Danio rerio: one gene and its partner. The protein of the gene in region 2 purifies or fractionates together with the protein of the main gene of each other region. This does not show direct contact. Links are inferred from orthologs where the notes say so. Each region holds a gene or a part of one and is shown on either strand. Other genes may lie near its edges. The genes, in order: ptges3a and ppp5c.

The links.
Region 1: the proteins of ppp5c (region 2) and ptges3a purify together in Homo sapiens (affinity purification with mass spectrometry; 5 studies listed by BioGRID and IntAct, with this or other methods). This does not show direct contact. The link is inferred for Danio rerio from reciprocal best matches to the Homo sapiens genes PPP5C and PTGES3.

The regions. Positions count from the first base shown.
Region 1 is NC_133198.1:29,970,424-29,974,939, reverse strand, and holds the start of ptges3a (prostaglandin E synthase 3), read right to left. Parts: upstream 3,053-4,516; 5' UTR 2,883-3,052; coding exon 2,881-2,882; intron 759-2,880; coding exon 645-758; intron 1-644. UniProt on the Homo sapiens protein: Cytosolic prostaglandin synthase that catalyzes the oxidoreduction of prostaglandin endoperoxide H2 (PGH2) to prostaglandin E2 (PGE2).
Region 2 is NC_133190.1:2,798,509-2,802,924, forward strand, and holds the start of ppp5c (serine/threonine-protein phosphatase 5), read right to left. Parts: upstream 2,947-4,416; 5' UTR 2,944-2,946; coding exon 2,853-2,943; intron 1-2,852. UniProt on the Homo sapiens protein: Serine/threonine-protein phosphatase that dephosphorylates a myriad of proteins involved in different signaling pathways including the kinases CSNK1E, ASK1/MAP3K5, PRKDC and RAF1, the nuclear receptors NR3C1, PPARG, ESR1 and ESR2, SMAD proteins and TAU/MAPT.

The DNA of each region.
Region 1 (4,516 bases), on a different chromosome or scaffold from region 2:
ATAATAGAGTGAAAGTTTATCATCTGCATGTGTTTTTAAGGCCTGTGACTATGTGAGCATTCATTCATTCATTTTCTTTTCGGCTTAGTCCCTTTATTAATCTGAGGTCGCCACAGCTGAATGAACCGCCAACTTATCCAGCACGTTTTTACGCAGCGGATGCCCTTCCAGCTGCAACCCAAAAAGACTATGTGAGCATTTTACGTTTAAAGCATTTTAGTTGTGCATAAAGAAGTTTAATAAAGGTTATTTTTATTAAATTACTTGTATAATGAAGACTATGCAATGTTATTTTACATTTGACATTTTACATTTATTTAATTTCTGTACCTGAATACTGTTAGATTCTCTCCAGAAAACATGGTTTAATTTACTTTCATTTTTGCACCATTGTGTTGATATATGAATGTAGTTTGTTTATTATATGTATATAATAAATTACATTTAAAATATATATTTATATTTCACACCCCTACACAATCATCCCAATCACACTAAACTAAAGATTTTGCAGATAGAGCTATAACTGTCATCTGGTGAAATTGAATTTATATCGCAATATACATCGCAGAGAAAAAAATGCAATGTAAAATGTTTCCAAAATCACTCAGGCCTACTATTAACAACTTAAAACAAGGATGTACCTGAAATCAAGCTTTGTTTTGTCAAATTTAACTTGGACATCTTTGCTGTCTTCTATACAAAACTCGATGAAGACAGCTTCCCGTCTGTCATACCACTTGGCAGTAGCTGGCTGCCTGCAAAACAAAAAATGAAAAGCAATGTTTTAGAAAAGGCTTCAGTCTAACTCCACTTTAATATGACATTCAAAAACACAATATCACTTAATTCTAATGGAATCCATGAGGAACTGAGCAACCAGCTAAGTGCATTTGTTAAAAGTCAAACTCCACACTAAAAGTGCAGCTCTAAATTAACATGTGCGGGCAGGAGGTCCTGGCGGGGGTGGAGCAACAATGACGTTACCGTGGCAACCTATTTGTATCAATTGGCAGGATCATGCATGGCTTCTTAACAATCTACCTAAGGCTTAACCCATGTAATACAATTATAGCAAAACCAGGCCTCTGTAATAAAGGGCTGCACAATAACTCCTATTTAAATCTGGAGTTTATTTTTATTGCTGTAGTTATAAGCAGGGTTTCTGTAGGTTTCATTAGGTTAAATGTAAGACTTTTAAAGACCTTTTTATCATGAAGGAAATTTTAGACTTAAAGCTAAATGCTAAGGATTTTTTTTTTTCGAATATCCCAGTTGGAAAATTTTTTCACTTGCCCTCTCAAAAATAATTAGAATTTAATACATTTAATAATACAATAATAATAATAATTTAATAATAACAAATATAGGTCAGGTGGTCAGTATCCTCAGCAGTAAATAAATGGGCGAACTTTTTAAAAACAATTACTGTAAGGAAAGTAATTAAACAATGATGGTAAATTAGTTCAAAATGCAATTTCTAAATGAAAAGTTTTGTTGAGATTGTTGGTGATTGTATGAGTGTTAATGGCCAGATTGGGAAGCTATACATGAACAGAGGAAAATTAAGAATGTTAAAAAAGATTTAAGACATACAACACAATATTTCAGTTGATTTGGGACTATTTGAGGCCTAAATTAAAATTTTTGAGATTTAAGACTTTTTAAGACCTTGTGGATACCCTGTATAGGATACAATAAAACAGTCATTCTAAGTAACTTTTTAATTTTAAGGCTTTAAAAAGTAACTTTATAACTTTGATTCTTGGAATAATTCACCCAAATATTTAGAATTCGCACCATTTTCTCTCCCTTATGTGGTTAAACCTTTAAGTATTTTTCTTTTGTTAAACACAAAAGATGTTTTAAAGAACTATAATTATTAACCTCCATTGTAGGAAAAAAAGCACAAGAAGTCAATGGTTACAGGTTTCCAGCTTTCTTTAAAAAATCTTTTGTGTCTAACAGAAGGAACTCAAATGTCTGAAACAATTAAAGGGTGAGTAAATGAAAATGTTTGCGTGAACTATCCCTTCTAAGATTAATTTTCAGCATCATTACTCCAGGGTTCAGTGTTTTACGTGATCATTCAGAAACCACAAGATGCTGAACATTTATTATTATATTACTATATTATTTATAAAGGAGATTTGGTTCATATTTTTTAATTTTAGCATTTATCATGTCCATACATGCATTTAAAAAGATGGTGTATCATTGATCGCAGCTGAAAACCTTTCAGCCTTGCTCTGCTGGTTTAGCCTGTAGACTGTTAACCAGCATGACCTGAAGGAAAGTACTCAAAACCATCTCACAAACCTGTCGTGTAAAGCTGGGATGACAAACTAAACCCCTTCAGTTGGCCAAATAGCCACCCAACTGATCTCCAGCATGGAAGACCAGCATAAACTGGCATTAATACCTTCTTAAACCCGTTCAAACAGCAAACATGACTTAAGCATGTTCTTTTCCAATAGGGAACACCCAGCCTGCAAGCCTTGATCTGTAAAAGGTTGATTTATATGACACATATATTGCTTGTACATTCTACAATAATGCATATGAAGCATGAATAGATGAACAGAATAGAATCATGCCATAGTAGCTTGCAGTAACCCCAGGCCTAACTATCTAGCTGCTAACCAGCTAGCTAAGCTCTGCTGTGGGGACAATGTGTGCTATTTCCACCACCAATTACCACTAGACGTTTTTCTACACAAATTCTAAGCTTCTTCACGAGGAAGATTCGTATTGTCCTAAATGTTCATACATGATAGTTGGCGTATGAGAGAGAATCTGGTGTTTCGCTGATAAAGGTTATGCACACATTTGCTAACTAGCTAAAGTTAGTGCATCCCTATGACTGCCGGTCAGACTCACATGTCGAATTCTCCTTTCAGTGTTCACCCAAATCTGCGTCTCCTCTCGCGTCCTCTCGCCTGGGGTAGTGTTTTGGATTTGTGCTGTCAGATCACAGTGAAGGCATACAGACGGAAGCTATAGCTGTTTATGCGCCGCTGTCAACCTGCACAAGGAGTGCGCGTGTCTCTACACACTGGCGCGCAGTGACGCATCAGCTCAACGTTTCTAGCGACTTCTGCTGCGCGCCCCCAGCCATGCGCGTTCCCTAAGCAAACACGTCTCCATAGTAACGCAGTGCTCGCTCCCCTGCTCGCTCCGCCTTGACAGTACAGTACAGGACGTCCACTGATGCAGGGCCACACAAATCATACGTCATACTTTTTCTTGAGTCAGAATGAAATTGTTTTGTCAGGATCCTCAGGCGTACTACACTAGGCGAAATGAATGAAGTGCATGTGCATTCACATGTATTTTATAAAAAGCATTTAATTAAATATTAATAAATAAATACAAATATCTGTCAGTCTGATAAAGGCAACACTTAAAGAACTGCAGATAACAAACGAAATAAGGTAATAATACAAATGATACCAATAATATTAATACTTTAGTAGACATTTGTTATATTAATAGTGATGATAATAATAATAATTGTAATAATAAAACAACAAATTATGAAAAATTTGTAATATTAATAATAATAGTAATAATAATTTATCATTATTATTTATTATTATTTATTATTATTATTATTATTATTGGCAGCATGGTGGTACAGTGGGCAGCACAATCGCCTCACAGCAAAAAGGTTGCTGGTTCAAGCCACGGCTGGGTCAGTGGAGTATGTGGAGTTTGCATGTTCTCCCTGTATTCGCATGGGTTTCCTCCGGGAGCCTCAGTTTCCCCCACATGTCCATAGACATGTGATCTTGGCTGAGTAAGCTAAAACTGTCTGTAGTGTATGTGTGTGAATGGGAGTGTATGGATGTTTCCCAGTGATGGGTTGCAGCTGGAAGGGCATCCACTGCTTAAAACATAAGCTGGATAAGTTGACGGTTCATTCCACTGTGGCGACCCCAGATTAATAAAGGGACTGAGCCGAAAAGAAAATGAATGAATGAATGAATGAATGAATGAATTATTATCATTATGATGATGATGATTATTATAATAATAATAATTATTATTATTATTAATAATAATAATAATATTAATAATAATAATAAAATAACCATGACACATTATTTACAATAATAGCAATGCCATAATGACAATAATTATTGCTATAAACAAAACAACAACAATCAACATTATTATTATTATTATTAATACTACTACTACTAATAATAATAATAATATTTATAAAAACTTATAATTTTTGGTTGTTGTCTGCGGATTTTTAACAGTTAAGGTATATAGATGGATGAATGTGCTATTTTTATTATTATAATTATTAATATATTATTATTAATATCTATCTATCTATCTATCTATCTATCTATCTATCTATCTATCTATCTATCTATCTGTCTGTCTGTCTGTCTGTCTGTCTGTCTGTCTGTCTGTCTGTCTAATAAATAGACAACACTTAAAGAACTGCAGAAAACAAATGAAATAAGTAAATAATACAAATTATACTAATAATATGAATACT
Region 2 (4,416 bases):
AACCAATAGTCATGATGCCACACTGAGCTCTTGTGAAGCAAAATGATCGCTCGGTTTAAGAAATTACACATTGTTTACAATGTTATTAGCTTTAATCCACAGCCTGGTCAAACAGTTCTCGGCACATGTGTGAATGTAGTCCTGTCTCTATAAAGGGTCACAAAACACCAACCCTGCTGAAAAATCCAGCTTAAACCAGCCTAGAATGGCTGTCTGGTTTTAGCTGGTCAACCATCCTGCTTTTAGATGGGTTTTGGCCATTTCCAGGCTGGTTTCCACCCATTTTCAGCCTGGTTTTAGAGGGGTTTTGGCCATTTCCAGCCTGGTCAAGCTGGAAAATGACCAGCTAAAACCAACTTGACCAGCCTGGTTTAAGCTGGACGTAGCTGGTTTTGGCTGGGCTAGGCTAGGCCATTTGGCTAGGAAATGGCCAAAACCCATCTAAAACCAGGCTGGTCGATCAGCTAAAACCAGCCAACCAGCCTAAGCTGGATTAAACTGGATTATTCAGCTGGAAAAAACACATGTTTTGAGCTGTTGACAGTCGTATATGTGTCCCACACTGCTAAAAACACTATTAGGACACCTATATTCAGCTAAAAAGTGAAAATTGGTTGTTTTTGCATTATTTCACGCAAATTCACACTTCCGGTTTGAAATGAATTTTTGAAGCTGCGTCACGGCCATGAGATTTTAGCGTGTATTACAGCGTGTAGAGTGGACGTCTGTACCAGGGAGTGCCTTATTACGTCTCTGAGTGTGCTGCATTTATTCTTGAGTAAGACTTGGTTGAAACCAATCAGCGCGCTCTAATGTGTATGCGGTGCAACTTCATTAATATGCATAATAGCTTCCAAGACTGTTTGTACCTGAAACAGTGTTCAGACGGCAGAGAAACGCCGCGTTGTTTTGGCAAAAGAGGACGGAAAAGAATAAAAATTGTTTGGAGATACGGGTCGTTAGTGTTGCTTTTATAATGTGATTATGTGTGGATTACTGCACACGACGCGCGGCTGAATTACGTTTGTACTAAAATTTTTTTATTCGAGAGCTTTTCTCATCTGGAAATTGTGAAAACTGGATTTGCTGCTCGTCTCCTTTTAATAAAGACGCGGTTCCAGTATGTGTTGTCTCTACAGATTTGGTAAGTGTGTACAATCAGTGCCCTTTCTTTGTTCATTCAGATGGCAAAGTTATAGTTCGTATCTTCAGCAGCACTCTTTCAGTGTTAATACAGACCTTAGTCAAAATGATTTCTAAGTTACTTAGTTTACGTTAATATCACTACAATATTATGGACTGAAAGATCTGCTGTAAATGCTGCTCTCAGAGTGTAAACATGACCACTGCAATCAAACTATTACCGACCGCCGTGTTTAATTTTCGCCGCATTTTGAGACAGGATAGTCTACACAACACAGCTTTCTGACCTACCGACTGCATCTGAGCTACCGAGAAATGCAGAGTTTTTTTTTTCTCTTATACGACGTGCGGTATCAAACATTCTACAGTCATTAAACACAGTCAAGTGTGTTCGTTTTGTCTCGGTTAAAATCAGCGCGTGCCCAAAAGGAAACTCCCATTTTTTTTAAAAACCTTCCCCTTTTCCCTCCCACCTAAACAGAGCTGGACACACCCACTTTCCTGACTTTTTCCAAACTAGAGGTGTAAACACCCTGCTAGAAATTCTATAAACTAGAAATTCCAAGTTCAGTCAAAGCAGGGTGAATCAGCTTTCAGCAACTACGCCCCCTGCTGCTGGAATCAGCGTCCAGAAATGATCAGATATGCTCCAACATTAGGCACATTCAAATCAAGACTGAAACACATCTGTTTAGATGCGCCTTGACTGAATGAGCACTGTGCTGTCCGACAGATTGCGCTACTATGTCTTTATCTTCTTTTTCATTCATATAAAACCTGTTTTTAATACTATTTGTCTTTATTTTTTTCTTATATACACGTCTTTTATTCCTGTTTATGTAAAGCACTTTGAATTGCCACTGTGTATGAAATGTGCTATATAAATAAACTTGCCTTGCCTTTTCAAATGCAACACATATCATTGATAAAGTTGCTTTTATATTCGCACATTCAGACTTTCTCCTTAATAATATAATTTTAGAAAAGTAATGTTTACAAATTCTAAATAGTGAAATCATATTAGCAGCCAATGAATATCAAAGTACAACATTATTCACAGTCAATTAAATAGTGCTAATGTCTTTTTCAAGTCATATTTACATGCGATATTAGACCCTATATTCAAATTAGCGTATTAAATAAAACAGGGAACGTTGAATGAAGAAATGTGCGAATATAAAACCAACTTTACCTCAACACAAACACCCCACAGTTTAACTCGTGTTAAGTATTTTTCAGAAATGACCATAGGATAAGCACAAGTATCAAAATAACTACCTGTCAAAACAGCAGGATGATAATTTCCCGATATAAAATGAATGAAAAGCAGACAGAAACCGAAAATAAACTATGTATTCAGCGAAAACACGTGATCACCTTGCTCTTGTGAGGGTATTAAAGTCTTAATACTGTGGTAATGACAGCCAACCAACATTCATACACCTGACAGAACAGCAGCTCTCTAAGTACGTGTGTTACGTCATCTCCCACGTCATCGTCGAGTTTATTTATCATAAGTATGAATTACGAGCAGAAAAGTCTATGGTGGTGTGTGTCTCTGATTCATCATGTGTGTGCTTGTCTCACACACGCTGCCCTTTTATTGATCTCACCAGTCATCATCAAACCGCAAACTCACGCAACACGGCCCTATACAGTCGACATCAGTACAGTCTCTTATCTGCAGCGGGTATTTGGCATGATTGTACCTTTAAAGTAGTCATTAGCCTTCTCCTTGAGTTTCTCTGCACTGGCATTCCGCTCTTCTTCCGCCATCTTCTCGCTGCCGTGTTCCGTCATGCTGCCGCGTGCGCGCGAAGAGCTGTCGCAAACACTTACGGGAAGGTACGTCTAGAACAGTCTAGACCCCAGAATAAAAATAAATTAATTAATAGATAAAAATAAACAAACGTTCAGAAGTAAACATTTTAACACACTAATAACCGCTCCATTAAAATCTGTATTCAAATAATTGGATCGTAAAATAGTTATAATAAATTAAATAATTTAATAAATAATAATTAATAAAATATTAATAATATAATAGGAACGTATAATAACTTAAATTGTAGCCTATTTTTATTTTAAAAATAATTTTTGTCAAAAATGACATAAACACTATTTTGAGTGATGTAAACAATAACAATTGCCCACAGTGTATTTCCTGTTTTACATTTTTCATTACTGAAAAAAAGCTAAAACCAGCCTAAGCTAGCTTTAGCTGGTCGACCAGGCTGGTTTTAGAGGGGTTTTGGCCATTTCCAGACTGGTTTCCAACCATTTCCAGCCTGGTCCTAGTTGGTCAGGCTGGCAGATGACCAGCTACAACCAGCCTGACCAGCCTATCCAGGCTGGGAGCCCAGCCAAAGCTATGTCCAGTTTAAACCAGGCTGGTCGAGGTGGTTTTAGCTGGTCATTGTCCAGCCTGACCAGCTAAGACCAGGCTTAAAAATGGAAATCAGCCTGAAGTGGCCAAAACCCCTCTAAAACCAGGCTGGTCGACCAGCTAAAACCAACCAACCAGCTTAGGCTGGTTTAAACTGGTTTTTAGCCTCTGAGAATCCAAAAGTGTCCACATATTGATACGTAATGTTATGCTTGCTGTTTTAAAGTTTTAAATTATGATATAGTTTGAAAACAAGCAGGAAATCTTCATGGACTAATAACATGAACACAATACTGGCCACTTTATTAGGTACCTTATTTGTACCGGGTTGGCCCCCATTTTGCCTTCAGAACTGCCTAAATCCTTCGTGGCATAGATTTAAGAAGGTACTGGAAATGTTCCTCAGAGATTTTGCTCCATATTGACATGATAGCATCACATAGTTGCTGCAGATTTGTCAGCTGCACATCCATGATGTGAATCTCCTATTCCACCACATCCCAAAGCTGCTCTATTGGATTGAGATCTGGTGACTGTGGAGGCCATTTGAGTACAGTGAACTCATTGTCATGTTCAGGAAACCAGTCTGAGGTGATTCGCGTCTACATGCCCAAATGCTTTGATTTGCTGCCATGTGATTGGCTAATTAGACATTTGCGTTAACAAGCAGTTGGACAGGTGTACCTAATAAAGTGGCCGGTGAGTGTAGAACTTTCTAGCTTCTTACACAAGGGTAATGTTTGGGGGACTGTGATATTATAGTAAATAATGATATATGTGAGGCACCACGGTGGCGCAATGGGCTGCACTGTCGCCTTACAGCAAAAAGGTCGCTGGTTTGAGCTTCTGCTGTGTCAGTTGGCATTTCTGTGTGGAGTTTGCATGTT